2 linked regions of the Drosophila melanogaster genome follow. The protein of the gene in region 1 purifies or fractionates together with the protein of each later gene. This does not show direct contact. Each region holds a gene or a part of one and is shown on either strand. Other genes may lie near its edges. The genes, in order: Sym and FLASH.

The links.
Region 2: the proteins of Sym (region 1) and FLASH purify together in Drosophila melanogaster (affinity purification with western blotting; one study listed by BioGRID). This does not show direct contact.

Annotation. Positions count from the first base shown.
Region 1 is NT_033777.3:5,737,667-5,744,080, reverse strand, and holds Sym (symplekin), read left to right. Parts: upstream 1-1,604; 5' UTR 1,605-1,952; coding exon 1,953-2,039; intron 2,040-2,109; coding exon 2,110-2,303; intron 2,304-2,364; coding exon 2,365-4,487; intron 4,488-4,563; coding exon 4,564-5,486; intron 5,487-5,592; coding exon 5,593-5,763; 3' UTR 5,764-5,903; downstream 5,904-6,414. Other genes in the region: Madm (MLF1-adaptor molecule), read right to left, coding at 1-1,096; CG1236 (uncharacterized protein), read right to left, coding at 6,173-6,414. UniProt on the Drosophila melanogaster protein: Component of a protein complex required for cotranscriptional processing of 3'-ends of polyadenylated and histone pre-mRNA. Involved in germline stem cell transit amplification, differentiation and mitosis-to-meiosis transition.
Region 2 is NT_033778.4:13,204,887-13,211,057, forward strand, and holds FLASH (FLICE-associated huge protein), read left to right. Parts: upstream 1-1,858; 5' UTR 1,859-2,105; intron 2,106-2,175; 5' UTR 2,176-2,205; coding exon 2,206-2,463; intron 2,464-2,519; coding exon 2,520-2,710; intron 2,711-2,764; coding exon 2,765-3,307; intron 3,308-3,366; coding exon 3,367-4,909; 3' UTR 4,910-4,998; coding exon of another isoform or gene 4,999-5,072; 3' UTR 5,073-5,175; coding exon of another isoform or gene 5,176-5,311; 3' UTR 5,312-5,369; coding exon of another isoform or gene 5,370-5,521; 3' UTR 5,522-5,572; downstream 5,573-6,171. Other genes in the region: Orc3 (origin recognition complex subunit 3), read right to left, coding at 1-232, 296-322; CG34315 (uncharacterized protein), read right to left, coding at 504-514, 590-830, 890-1,039, 1,112-1,237, 1,294-1,438, 1,495-1,622; CG34312 (uncharacterized protein), read right to left, coding at 4,999-5,072, 5,176-5,311, 5,370-5,521, 5,573-5,681; CG30058 (uncharacterized protein), read right to left, coding at 5,743-5,813, 5,955-6,093, 6,149-6,171.

The sequences.
Region 1 (6,414 bases):
CGCTGGGTCGGTCCTGCGGCTGCGGGTTGAGACACTTTCGTATCAGGTCGCGCTGCAGATCGTTTTCCAGGCTAAAGATTGTGCGCTGGATGGTCTCCTCGTTGATGGCAGTTGACTCGCTGTTACTGGGCTGGATTTCCAGGGCGGCCATCTCCAGGGCACACATCCCGAAGGCGTAGATGTCGAGGGCGGCGGTCAACTGGTCGGCGGCGCCGTACTCGGGCGCCTGGAAGTAGTGGGCGCCTCGTTCGCGTTCACGCTCCCGCTCTCGGCCGCGCCGGACGCTGTAGTGGACCGCGTCCGGGACCACCGAGCCGATCTTGACCAGGCCGTTGTGCTGGATGAAGATGCTATCACAGGTTAAATTGCCGTGGATGATGGGCGGCGAGCAGGAATGCAAATAGCTGAGTGCGGACAAAATCTGAGTGCACCACCGGCGCCACGACTCCAGCGGTAGCCGCTTGGCGTTGCGCTTGGTGCGCTTGAGGAACTGTTTCAGCGATCCGCTCGACATGTACTCGGTGATAAAGACCACCCTGGGTCGCTCGGCCTGCTGCGTGTCCGTCCAGTAGCGGTGGAACTTGACAATGTTTTGGTGGTCCAGCTGCAGCAGATTGTCGAACACCTGCCGCATCTTCTCCTCCTGCGACTTCAGCTCCTGTAGGCTGGCATATTGCACCTCATTCCACACGACCTCTACGCCCTCCTCGGTGTCCATGGCCAGATGGACGCAGTCAATACCGGGTACGTCACGCTGATCCACCTCCTCGCGTCGCTTCAGCCAGCGTCCACATGGCGACTCCTCCAAAATCTCGCTCTCATCCTCCGAATCGTCCCCGGACTCGCGTGGCGACGAGTCCAGATTGACGCCCTCGCTGCCAGCTACGACGCCGACGCCGACCGCAGCGCTGCTGCCCGCATCAGCTGTTGAGGCACTAACTATGTGCGGCGGGGGCTGCTGCGTCGACTGCGACGGCGGGGTCGCTGCTGGGCAGGATGCACTTACGGGGCCGGCCGCCAAGGAAGGGTGGTGCTGGATGGGTTCATCCGCTACCGTGCTACCGCTGATGCCGGCATTCGCTTGGCTATTTGACATTAGGGTGCGGTCACCGACGCGGCTGCGGCTGTTGAGCAGTGCTGTTCCAGTTCCAGAAGGCCTCGTCGTCTTCGGTTTCCAGTGTTTATTTTCTTTGTTGGACTGCCTACGTTTGCGCTAGCTTTTCGTGGTATCCACTACGGGGTCCGGGCAACGAGCTACATCCGCCGCTGCTCCTCTGCCGCTGCCTCTGCCCCACTCACTGGCGCACACATACACACGCACGCGCCCACACAGCTCATCCACTGCACCCCTCGCCCAGTAAACACTCCGCTGCGACGGCTGGCGGTTGCTGGGACGTTTTTCGGCACCTTCGACGGCGTCTTCTGTTCCAATCCTCGACTGCGTCGCGAACTGCGATCCGTTTGTTGCACTTTCTGGCCTGACACGCTGCCGATTCGTTTATTTAGGCGTTTTTTTCACGCTAAAACACCCAAGAAATGTGAGCAAATCGATGCCTCTGGCTTATCGATAGTCACCCCCGCATATCGCTCGGCCAGCGCAACTGCGGCATGCTCATCGATAATAACGCGTTAAGCTGAGATATGCCAAAAATGGCTTAATTTATGTGATTTATTAATTTTTTATACGGTAACGAGCAAGGAAAATTAGTTTGCAGGCGGTTCATTTGATTATAAGCCAAGTTTTTAGTAAAATATTCTTTTTCTTTTGAACACATTAAGAGCTGGCAAAAAATAGCTAGATGGTCCGGAAATATGCAGAATTACCAACATCATAGAACCGTTTTCGATAGTTTCTCAATGGTACCGATAACACCTTGCCATCCGTGCCGGCAGCTCTTAAAAATATCCGAAGTATCGCAGATTTAGGCAAAATCTGCATCAATTAACCAAACATGGATAGCATAATTGGACGCAGCCAGTTTGTCTCGGAGACGGCCAATCTGTTCACAGACGAGAAGACAGCTACGGCAAGAGCTAAGGTAGAACACAAATCTTAATCAGACAAGACAGTCCGGACTGCTGTATTGTACCATATATTTTCCCATTCAGGTGGTCGATTGGTGCAATGAGCTGGTCATCGCATCGCCTTCGACAAAGTGCGAACTGCTGGCTAAGGTGCAGGAGACTGTGCTTGGATCGTGCGCGGAGCTGGCCGAAGAATTCCTGGAGTCCGTGCTGTCTTTGGCCCACGACTCAAACATGGAGGTTCGCAAGCAGGTAGTCGCCTTCGTAGAGCAAGTTTGGTAAGGATTTCCATCAAAGGATCTAACTTCTTGCTGAAACGATTTATATTTTCCATCCCAGTAAAGTGAAGGTGGAGTTACTGCCCCATGTCATTAACGTCGTGTCTATGCTGCTTAGGGATAACTCGGCTCAGGTAATCAAAAGAGTGATCCAAGCCTGCGGTAGCATCTACAAGAATGGATTGCAGTACTTGTGCAGCCTCATGGAGCCCGGCGACAGTGCGGAGCAGGCGTGGAACATCCTCAGCTTAATCAAGGCGCAAATACTGGACATGATCGACAATGAAAACGACGGCATACGTACAAATGCCATTAAGTTCTTGGAGGGCGTCGTGGTTCTGCAGAGCTTTGCTGACGAGGACAGTCTGAAACGAGATGGAGACTTCTCGCTGGCAGATGTCCCCGATCACTGCACACTATTCCGCCGTGAAAAGTTGCAAGAGGAGGGCAACAATATTTTAGATATCTTGCTTCAGTTCCACGGAACAACGCATATTTCCTCAGTGAACTTGATTGCCTGCACAAGCAGCTTGTGTACAATTGCCAAAATGCGACCCATTTTCATGGGCGCCGTGGTGGAAGCCTTTAAGCAGCTGAATGCCAACCTGCCGCCCACCCTCACTGACTCGCAAGTAAGCTCCGTGCGTAAGAGCCTTAAGATGCAGTTGCAGACATTGCTGAAGAACCGCGGTGCCTTTGAGTTTGCAAGCACTATCCGAGGAATGTTAGTTGATCTGGGGTCCTCCACAAATGAGATCCAGAAGCTTATTCCCAAAATGGACAAACAGGAAATGGCTCGTAGACAAAAACGCATCCTCGAAAATGCTGCGCAAAGTCTTGCAAAGCGTGCGCGCTTGGCCTGTGAGCAGCAGGATCAGCAGCAGCGAGAAATGGAGCTAGACACTGAGGAATTGGAACGACAGAAACAGAAGTCTACTCGAGTTAACGAAAAGTTTCTGGCAGAGCATTTCCGTAATCCTGAAACTGTTGTGACCCTGGTGCTGGAGTTCCTGCCCAGTCTGCCCACTGAGGTGCCACAAAAGTTCCTTCAGGAATATACACCCATTCGCGAAATGTCTATTCAGCAGCAGGTAACCAATATCTCCAGATTTTTTGGCGAACAACTATCTGAAAAGCGCCTAGGCCCAGGTGCCGCAACCTTCAGTCGAGAGCCGCCAATGCGGGTTAAGAAAGTGCAAGCGATTGAATCAACACTAACTGCAATGGAAGTGGACGAGGATGCTGTTCAAAAACTGAGTGAGGAAGAGTTTCAGCGTAAGGAGGAAGCAACCAAGAAGCTGCGCGAGACCATGGAGCGCGCCAAGGGTGAGCAGACTGTTATTGAAAAGATGAAGGAGCGCGCCAAGACGCTGAAGCTGCAGGAGATCACCAAGCCTCTGCCACGCAACTTAAAAGAGAAGTTCCTAACTGATGCAGTGCGTCGCATCCTCAACTCGGAGCGGCAATGCATTAAGGGAGGAGTGTCATCAAAGCGCCGTAAGCTGGTCACCGTGATTGCTGCCACCTTTCCCGATAACGTACGTTACGGCATCATGGAGTTCATCCTGGAGGATATAAAACAGCGTATCGATTTGGCATTTTCCTGGCTCTTTGAGGAGTACTCTCTGCTGCAAGGATTTACAAGGCACACTTATGTTAAGACAGAGAACAGACCCGATCACGCCTACAACGAGTTGCTGAATAAGCTTATCTTCGGCATTGGAGAGCGTTGCGATCACAAGGATAAGATTATTTTGATTCGTCGAGTATATCTAGAAGCACCCATTCTTCCGGAAGTCTCAATTGGACATCTAGTTCAATTAAGCCTGGACGACGAGTTCTCCCAGCACGGCCTGGAGCTAATCAAGGACCTTGCAGTGCTTAGGCCGCCGCGAAAGAATCGTTTCGTTAGAGTGTTGCTCAACTTTTCTGTGCATGAGCGACTGGATCTGCGGGATCTGGCACAGGCCCACCTGGTCAGTCTGTACCATGTACACAAAATACTACCGGCTCGAATAGACGAATTCGCTCTGGAGTGGCTTAAATTTATCGAACAGGAATCTCCGCCGGCAGCTGTTTTCTCGCAGGACTTTGGTCGACCAACCGAGGAGCCTGATTGGCGGGAAGACACTACCAAGGTGTGCTTTGGTTTGGCCTTTACCCTGCTGCCCTATAAACCGGAAGGTAAGTTGTTGCTGTCCCGTATTAAAGAAGAAAAAAACTATTAAATCAATTTCTTAATATTCTCTTCCCCTGATAGTTTACTTACAGCAAATTTGTCAAGTGTTTGTTTCTACATCTGCCGAACTGAAACGCACGATCTTGCGCAGTCTAGATATTCCCATAAAAAAGATGGGTGTAGAAAGCCCGACGTTGCTGCAACTAATCGAGGATTGTCCTAAGGGTATGGAGACCTTAGTGATCCGTATAATTTACATACTGACAGAGCGAGTGCCATCCCCCCATGAAGAATTGGTTCGGCGGGTTCGGGATCTCTACCAGAACAAGGTCAAGGATGTGCGCGTGATGATACCCGTGCTAAGTGGCTTAACCCGATCCGAGCTAATTTCCGTTCTGCCGAAGCTGATTAAACTTAATCCCGCTGTGGTCAAGGAGGTTTTCAATCGATTGCTTGGTATCGGTGCCGAATTCGCGCATCAGACGATGGCCATGACCCCCACTGATATTCTCGTGGCTTTGCACACCATCGATACGAGTGTCTGCGATATTAAAGCCATCGTTAAGGCTACATCCCTATGTTTGGCTGAAAGAGATCTGTACACACAGGAGGTACTTATGGCTGTGCTGCAACAGCTTGTAGAGGTTACTCCGCTGCCTACTCTGATGATGCGCACAACAATTCAGAGTCTAACTCTGTACCCGCGTCTGGCAAACTTTGTAATGAACTTGTTGCAGCGTCTGATAATCAAGCAGGTCTGGCGGCAAAAAGTAATCTGGGAGGGCTTTTTAAAGACCGTGCAGCGCCTGAAACCGCAGTCAATGCCGATCCTGCTGCACCTTCCTCCCGCCCAGCTGGTGGACGCACTGCAGCAGTGCCCCGATTTAAGGCCAGCATTGTCGGAATACGCGGAGAGCATGCAGGATGAACCAATGAATGGTAGTGGTATAACCCAGCAGGTTCTGGACATCATCTCCGGGAAATCAGTTGATGTGTTCGTGACGGTAACTATGCATTTTTTGATTTAGTCTTAAATGAAATAATAGTAACTCAAATACCGAACCAATATCGAAGACGTTCAGCTACTACATACGAGTATCTTCTTTTCAGGACGAAAGCGGCGGTTACATCAGTGCCGAGCATATTAAAAAAGAGGCACCGGATCCATCAGAAATTAGTGTCATTTCCACAGTGCCCGTACTGACGTCTCTAGTACCACTACCAGTTCCTCCCCCCATAGGCAGTGATCTTAACCAGCCCCTGCCGCCTGGCGAGGACTAGTTGCAGTTTAATTGTTTTGTTTGCTCATACACATTTTTAAATTACTTAATAAGATAAGGTCTATAATTTTATAAACTCACTGTTCTAGGCGATAATACATAAAACCAAGGTCTTGACCGCACCCACATACATTATAAAGGAATATAATTTTGTTTGTTAATGATCAAAAGATTGGGAGTATACCCCACGCAAATAACACAAAAATTTCGATTCTGAGTGGCCACGACCATTTACGGATCAGTTCATTGCGAGCACTGTCATCGGCGTAATACAAGTGTTTCAATAATTTCAGTACCTTTAAAATACCTTTGAAAGTACGAAATATTTAATTAGAACATTGTACATAATTACAAACAGATGTTTTTAAAAAGATGTGGAAAAAATTCATTGTACGCTGAGATTACACGGCTTACAGCTCTACTTCGGCTACCATTTTATCGCCAGCTAAGGCAGCAAGAATATTTCTGGCTGTAATCCGGGACATTTCCTTGCGCGTTTCGATGTCAGCGCTGCCAATGTGGGGGAGAATAACCACATTATCCAGTTTCAGAAGAGGATCGTCGATTGGCAATGGCTCCGGCGTCGTTACATCCAGACCAGCTGCTAGAATTCGTTTGGTTTTCAGTGCCTCGTACAGGGCCTTCTGGTCTA
Region 2 (6,171 bases), on another chromosome or scaffold:
CCTGCCCCACCACAAAGTCCACCAGTTGCTCCAGAGTGCGGGCATAGCTGCGGTGCTGCAGGTCGGCAATGTGATCGTTTATCTGATTCCAGGCCTTGCGATATTCCTCATAGAAGGGCTGCTGCACTACCTCTTTGCCAAGAAGACTACTGGATTCTGCGGCAGGACGCTTCCGTTTGCTGGCCGCCTTTTTCCCTGCTCTCGTAGCGCCATTTTTGTAGACAAAACAGCCCTGCAGACAACAAAAATAAGTAGTTAAACATCTATGTCCAGTTTGGAAGCCGAAGCCACTCACCTTGGACACTGAAATGGTGGGATCCATCGCTGGCTTTGCACTGCGGCCCGATGTCGTGGAGTCTTTAAGTCGCCGGGTTGCGTTTATTTATTTATTTGTTTAGGTCAGCTCTGTGCCAATTAAAGTTTCTTCACCGGTAGGAACGCGAAATGAAATCAGCTGGCTGTTGTGTTTGGCGCCAAACGGGCGGCAGTGTTGGCTAACGACTTTAGGGGGTATCTTTGAAAACAAGTGTGAAAAGTATAAATTAATTGAATATTTCATCTAACATGAACTAATAATAAGAAATCATACCCTTCGTGCTCGTACGCCACCATTTTGGTGGATACGAATTCGTCGTAGTTTCTGTGAACAGCACCAAGTTTTTTGAACGTTCGCCATCGCAACGATCCGACCATTTTGGGGCCACTTGGAATGAGAAAAGATAGAGGAGCAGGAAATCGAGGAACAGTATGATGGCTGCCAGGAAGTAGTCCTTCGTGCGCATCTCGGCGAACCTTCCACCGTTTATAATCTGCGCGTGATACATGACAAACTGTAAGGAGGAAACTAAATGACAGAAACTAATTCAAAAATGTATGACTCAGTACTAACCATCAAGATGCTGATCACTATAAAGCAACGGGCGATTATAAACGAGTATGCGACATTAGCCACGATGTAGAGCATCACGAAGTATATGGCGCCGATAATGGAAACCACTGCAAGCACAAATAGCACCACAACATCCAAAGTAAGATCCAGCTTAAGGGGATAACAATAAAAATGTGAAGCTTCAGATTTGAATCAAATGGCTTTCATGTGGACTCTTCTTACCGGAAGAAAGGAACCACAGACAATAAAAAGCGCCAATGCTACGGTCCATATAAGGAAGCTGAAGAGAAACTGATACTTGTAGTGGCGGGCAACCAGCGGTGCAATCCCCAGTACAATGCATTCAAACTGGAAAGAATAAGTTCATACTGCCACCCAGGTTATGTTTCACATTGTAGACTTACAATTAGAAAGGCAAACAACCAGTTTACCATTTTATTAAAGCGCAGTACCTCGAAAAATATGAAAAGTACGAGGAGTATCAGGCCTATTCCAAAAAAAAGGCAGCTCAACCAATGGTACGAAGTAAAAAATTCCCTTAGAAAATTTCTGAAAATTAAGAAAAAGTGCAGTGAGGATGAAGTAATGTGAAAATACATACGTACACAAAGCGGAAAGTGGCCCATTGCAACAGCGCAAGGATCAGGAATATCGCGGTTAGTAGGTAAGTGATCAGAGCGAACTTTCTTCTTTCCTTCTTGTAGTAAGAACTTTTTTCCGGAATGTCTGCCATTGTGTAGTGTTTCTCGAGTATTATTGTTTGTATTGTGATGTTTTTTTTTAACGAATTTAAGTGTACAGTAATACGAAATGGGAACTAGATTGATTTTAAAATTATATTCTTGGGAAAACACGTAAGTGCATAATAAAATTTTTAAAATATTCGTTTTGGCGCCAAATGTTGCTGCTGGATATCGATATCCACTATCAGGGTTGCCACATTTTCAGCCGGTCAGCTGTTGCTTCCGATAATCAACTGCATCTTCTGTTATCGATTGGCGGCAACACGGGATTTTCTAACAATATTAAATAGAATAATAATAATAATTACATTTATACAAATACACGGCAGGGAAACAAATTGCACGCCAGTTTGGAGGAAATGCTCAGGACAGTGACCATTGAGCTTTAGTGGAACTTTTATTCCCTGAAACAAAAATCAAGAACATTGAAATTCTTTTGTGTTTCGAATTTTGATCAATTTATGACTGAACAGGTAATCAATAAAGTAGCTCCATTAAAAAACAGTAACTCTAACAATTCATTTTATGTATCCTTGTTTAAAGGGCAGCCAAGAAGAAACGTAAGCGATTGGTATGGAAACGCCTGCATATGCCACGAAATCTGGCGGAGAACTGGTGCTGCCCGAAGCTCTGGAGGACTTGATGGATTTGGAAGACCAGGACGCGGGCGGGATGAAGTCCAACGTTAAGGATAAATCCATGGATTTGGATATCTATCACGATTTGTACGATATAGAGCCTGCAGGTTCAAAGAAGCCTGACCAAATGGACAGATCCCTTGAACTGGACATCTACGATGATTTGGACGACTTTCAGAAGGCCGAAGATCGTGTAAGTTGTGCAGGAATACGTCCTTTCAGCAGAGTTACCCATTTACCATCTCACAGAATACCAAGGAGCTACAGGCATGGGAAGCCAAATACGAAAAGGCACTGGCCGAAATTGAAGCGCTAAAGGTTGAGAATAAGGCACTTGGCAAGAAGATAAAAACCATGGAGGTTAATCTACAGAATCTACTGGACACAGCTAAGGCGGAGGTAAAGAGAAAAGAGACACTGATTGCCGAGCTGCGAAACGAGTAAGTTAGCATATTGACTCCCTGCTTCTTAACAAACAACACATTGTTCAACAGAAAGGACGATGTATGCTTCCGACGAAAACGAGCACGGGCGTTTGACGTACCAGGTGCAAGGGAACCCGAAAGTAAGCGTCCGAAAGAATTTCAATCTACACCAATCGATGTCAGGAAATATCCGGAAACGAATAGAAATCCGTTCAAAACGGCTGCAAAGGACGCCGCTAAGGATGATGCTAGGAAGATGATGACCAAAAAAGATGACACAACGAAAGTCGTATCAAAAGATGTTGAAAGAGGCGTAAAATCCAAGGAGGATAATAAGATGGCGACCAATAAAGATGATGACAAGAAGTCATCCTCAAAGGATGATGCTTGGAAATCTAGGACAAGAGAAGACGCCAAGAAATCGGTCCAAAGAAGCAAGTCTCCCAGGCCGGAACACTCAAAGACCACCGATCGGAAATCTACTGCACAGGCTCGTCGTCCAGATCCACATCGCAGCCGGAGTCCAAAACATAATTCCCGGCGAGATCATCACAGGAATCAAGAAAGCAGTTCCCGGCACGCCAAACGGCGAAGCCAATCCGCATCGCCCAGGTCAGTAAAGCAGAGGGACATAAGTTACATTTGTTGATAGCACCATCTGATTTTTGTAGCAAGATACAATTGCCAAGAGAAAAAGCAAATGCCATCATCACACTTACTGACGATGAAACAAATGACCAACGCAGCAAGAGCCCAGTCCCCGTGACCGTCAAACTCGTAACTGAATCTCAACCGGCTGAAAAAGTCGTTTCCAACCGAAGGGATGCTGCTTTAGAAACCAATGCAAATTCCTCAAAGGAATCAAAAGTAGAGACGAAGGATATTACTCAACCGACAAATGGTTTAATTGCTGAACCTTGTATTCCAAAACATGAGATTATTCCGGGGTTAAGCTTAATTAACCCAGAATCGGCGGATTTTTCTAAAAATGAGATCAAGTTAGATCCTGTAATCTTACAGGATCGTACAGAAGACTCTGGCCACCAACTTTTAAATAAGGAGCCTATTCCCAAAGTTGTAGTACTTGAAAAATGTAAAAACATTTTAGCTGAAGATTGCCCAGCTGATGAGCAACCCCTGGACAAATTCAAGGATGGAAAAGAATCTGAAGAGACACAGGCAAAGTTAGACAAAAAAGAGCCTTTTGCAGTTGAAACTGCTGTTGAAACTCCTAGCAAAGAAGAAAGCAACGACAACATAGTATTATCAAAGAATACGACGTCTCAAGCTGATGTGTGTTCTCAGCATGATGAGAATGATGAAGCAGAGATCCGAGAACCGATGGATCAAGTTAACTCCGTGGTCGAGTCCGACTTGGGAGTAAGGATTATTGAGGATATTCGGTTGCCCAAGATGGCGAATATCGACCATTTTGCTGTAAAGGTCGACAACCATGGTGAAGCGCCAGCAGCTGTCACAGATTCCGCTTTAAATCAAGAGAACCTAGCCACACAGGACCAAAAGATTTGCGCAGAGATGAAAGATCCAACTATTTTTACCACCTCGGACGAAACTCCAATAAAGTCTGCTACTATATTATACGCCAAGCCCGATTCAACAAAACTGGATCACAGCGATGAACATGACGAGGTTATCCTGGAAACTGCCATTGACATGCTGAAGAAGGAGCAGGATGCAGCGAGCACCGCAGAATCCACATATCCGAAACTGCGGATCGCAGAAGATGCCATTGAGATGGCACTAGAGCAATTGCACCAGCAGTCGCCGGACGAAACTGTGGTGACCTCAACGTCGAATAGAGCGCCGCAGACGCCAAAAAGCCTCATCACAATACTCACCCAGACTCCAAAACAGGCTGATCCACTAAGATCCCAAACGAAATCGAAGACTGTGTCGCCGATGGCGACGCCTAAGAAGACGGCCACGGAGAAGACCCCAGTGAAGAAGAGAAAGGTCAACATGGATAGTTCGCCGCAGGTGCCAGCCCATGATGTTACCATCGACGAAACTTTGGGTGCCTGCAGTCTGCAGGACGAGAGCTCAACTGTGACCAAACGCTGCTCCCTGGGCCACACAGACTACCAGTACGAACAGATAAAGGACGAGGTCATTTTAAGAGTGAAACGACGGGGTCGCCGACGAAAGCCAACACCTATGGAAATACCTACGACTGCTGCGGACAAACCAATTTGAAATAAAATTGTGTAATCGATTTGAAGTGTCCACTTCGAATTTATTTATATATATTACATTGCTGCACCCAATGATTGGGTGAATAGGTGTTAATTCACGCGATCAGGACTTTCGATCATCTTGAACCATGAGTAGGCAACGATCCAAAAGTAAATGGCTACACCTGTGGGTTTTGAATTATTATTAATAATAAGGTACTTAAAATAAGCAAACTATTCTTAATTCTGGATAGTGTGAAAATATATCAAATATTTTGCAAGCTTTACCAAATCCGCCGATGATAAGGAATAAGGTCAAAATCACAGGGCCAATTGCGACGCAAACATAAATGAAAAACATAAGATCATAAACAATGCGAATTGCGCCTGTTATTAGATAGCCAATGACCAGTTTTTTGGATTTCTGGAAAAGACGAGAGTCTTAATTAATAGATTGCTTCTAACTAGAAATGAATACTTACCACCCAAACAGAGCCAATAACTGAGACACAAAACACTAGGTGGGCAAAGTGGATGACAAGTGTGATGATCCAAACGTAGTAGGTGGAAGTGTAGCTGACCTCAAACGTTCCCATATCATGATCAATCCACCAGTCCTCATAATAGGCTAGATCTGTGCGACACTTTATATTCAAATCGATTGAGATCATATTAAAACACATACACTTAGTTTCCAAAACAACTGCCGCCGTCACAATCATATCTATAAGGGCGATAATCAAGGCTCCCCATCTTAGCTCCCAGCAACAGCACTTCCTAATGGTACACTTCATTCTAATTTAACTTGGTGTCTCGGGATCATTTTCGTATGGGTAATGTTGTCGTCTGAGTGATCTATATGTCCGCTGAGCCTCCAAGCTTCTTGTACCACGAGAAGACAACGATCCACAAGCAGACTGCAATAACTGTGGGTCGCGATAAGAAGTGCGTTAATTTGAAATACTTTAATACATACATTTAATTAGGTATTATATGCATTCAATCGAAATGAAAGTCAGGGCCATCTTGTGTATTTTTTTTGTAAATATATATATGAAACAACTTACTTAGGCCAATAATGATGAAAATCAGTCCCGGGATATCGTGGTCGCCCAATTTAATGCACACGAAAATGAAAAAAATGATATCAATAATTACGCGAATTATTGCGGTTATCAAATAGGGAGCTACGAGATTTTTATTTCGCTAAAAAAAGGGTTTTAAATATACAAGGAAATTACTAACAACAATGACTACTTACCACACAAAGAGAAACAAGAACCA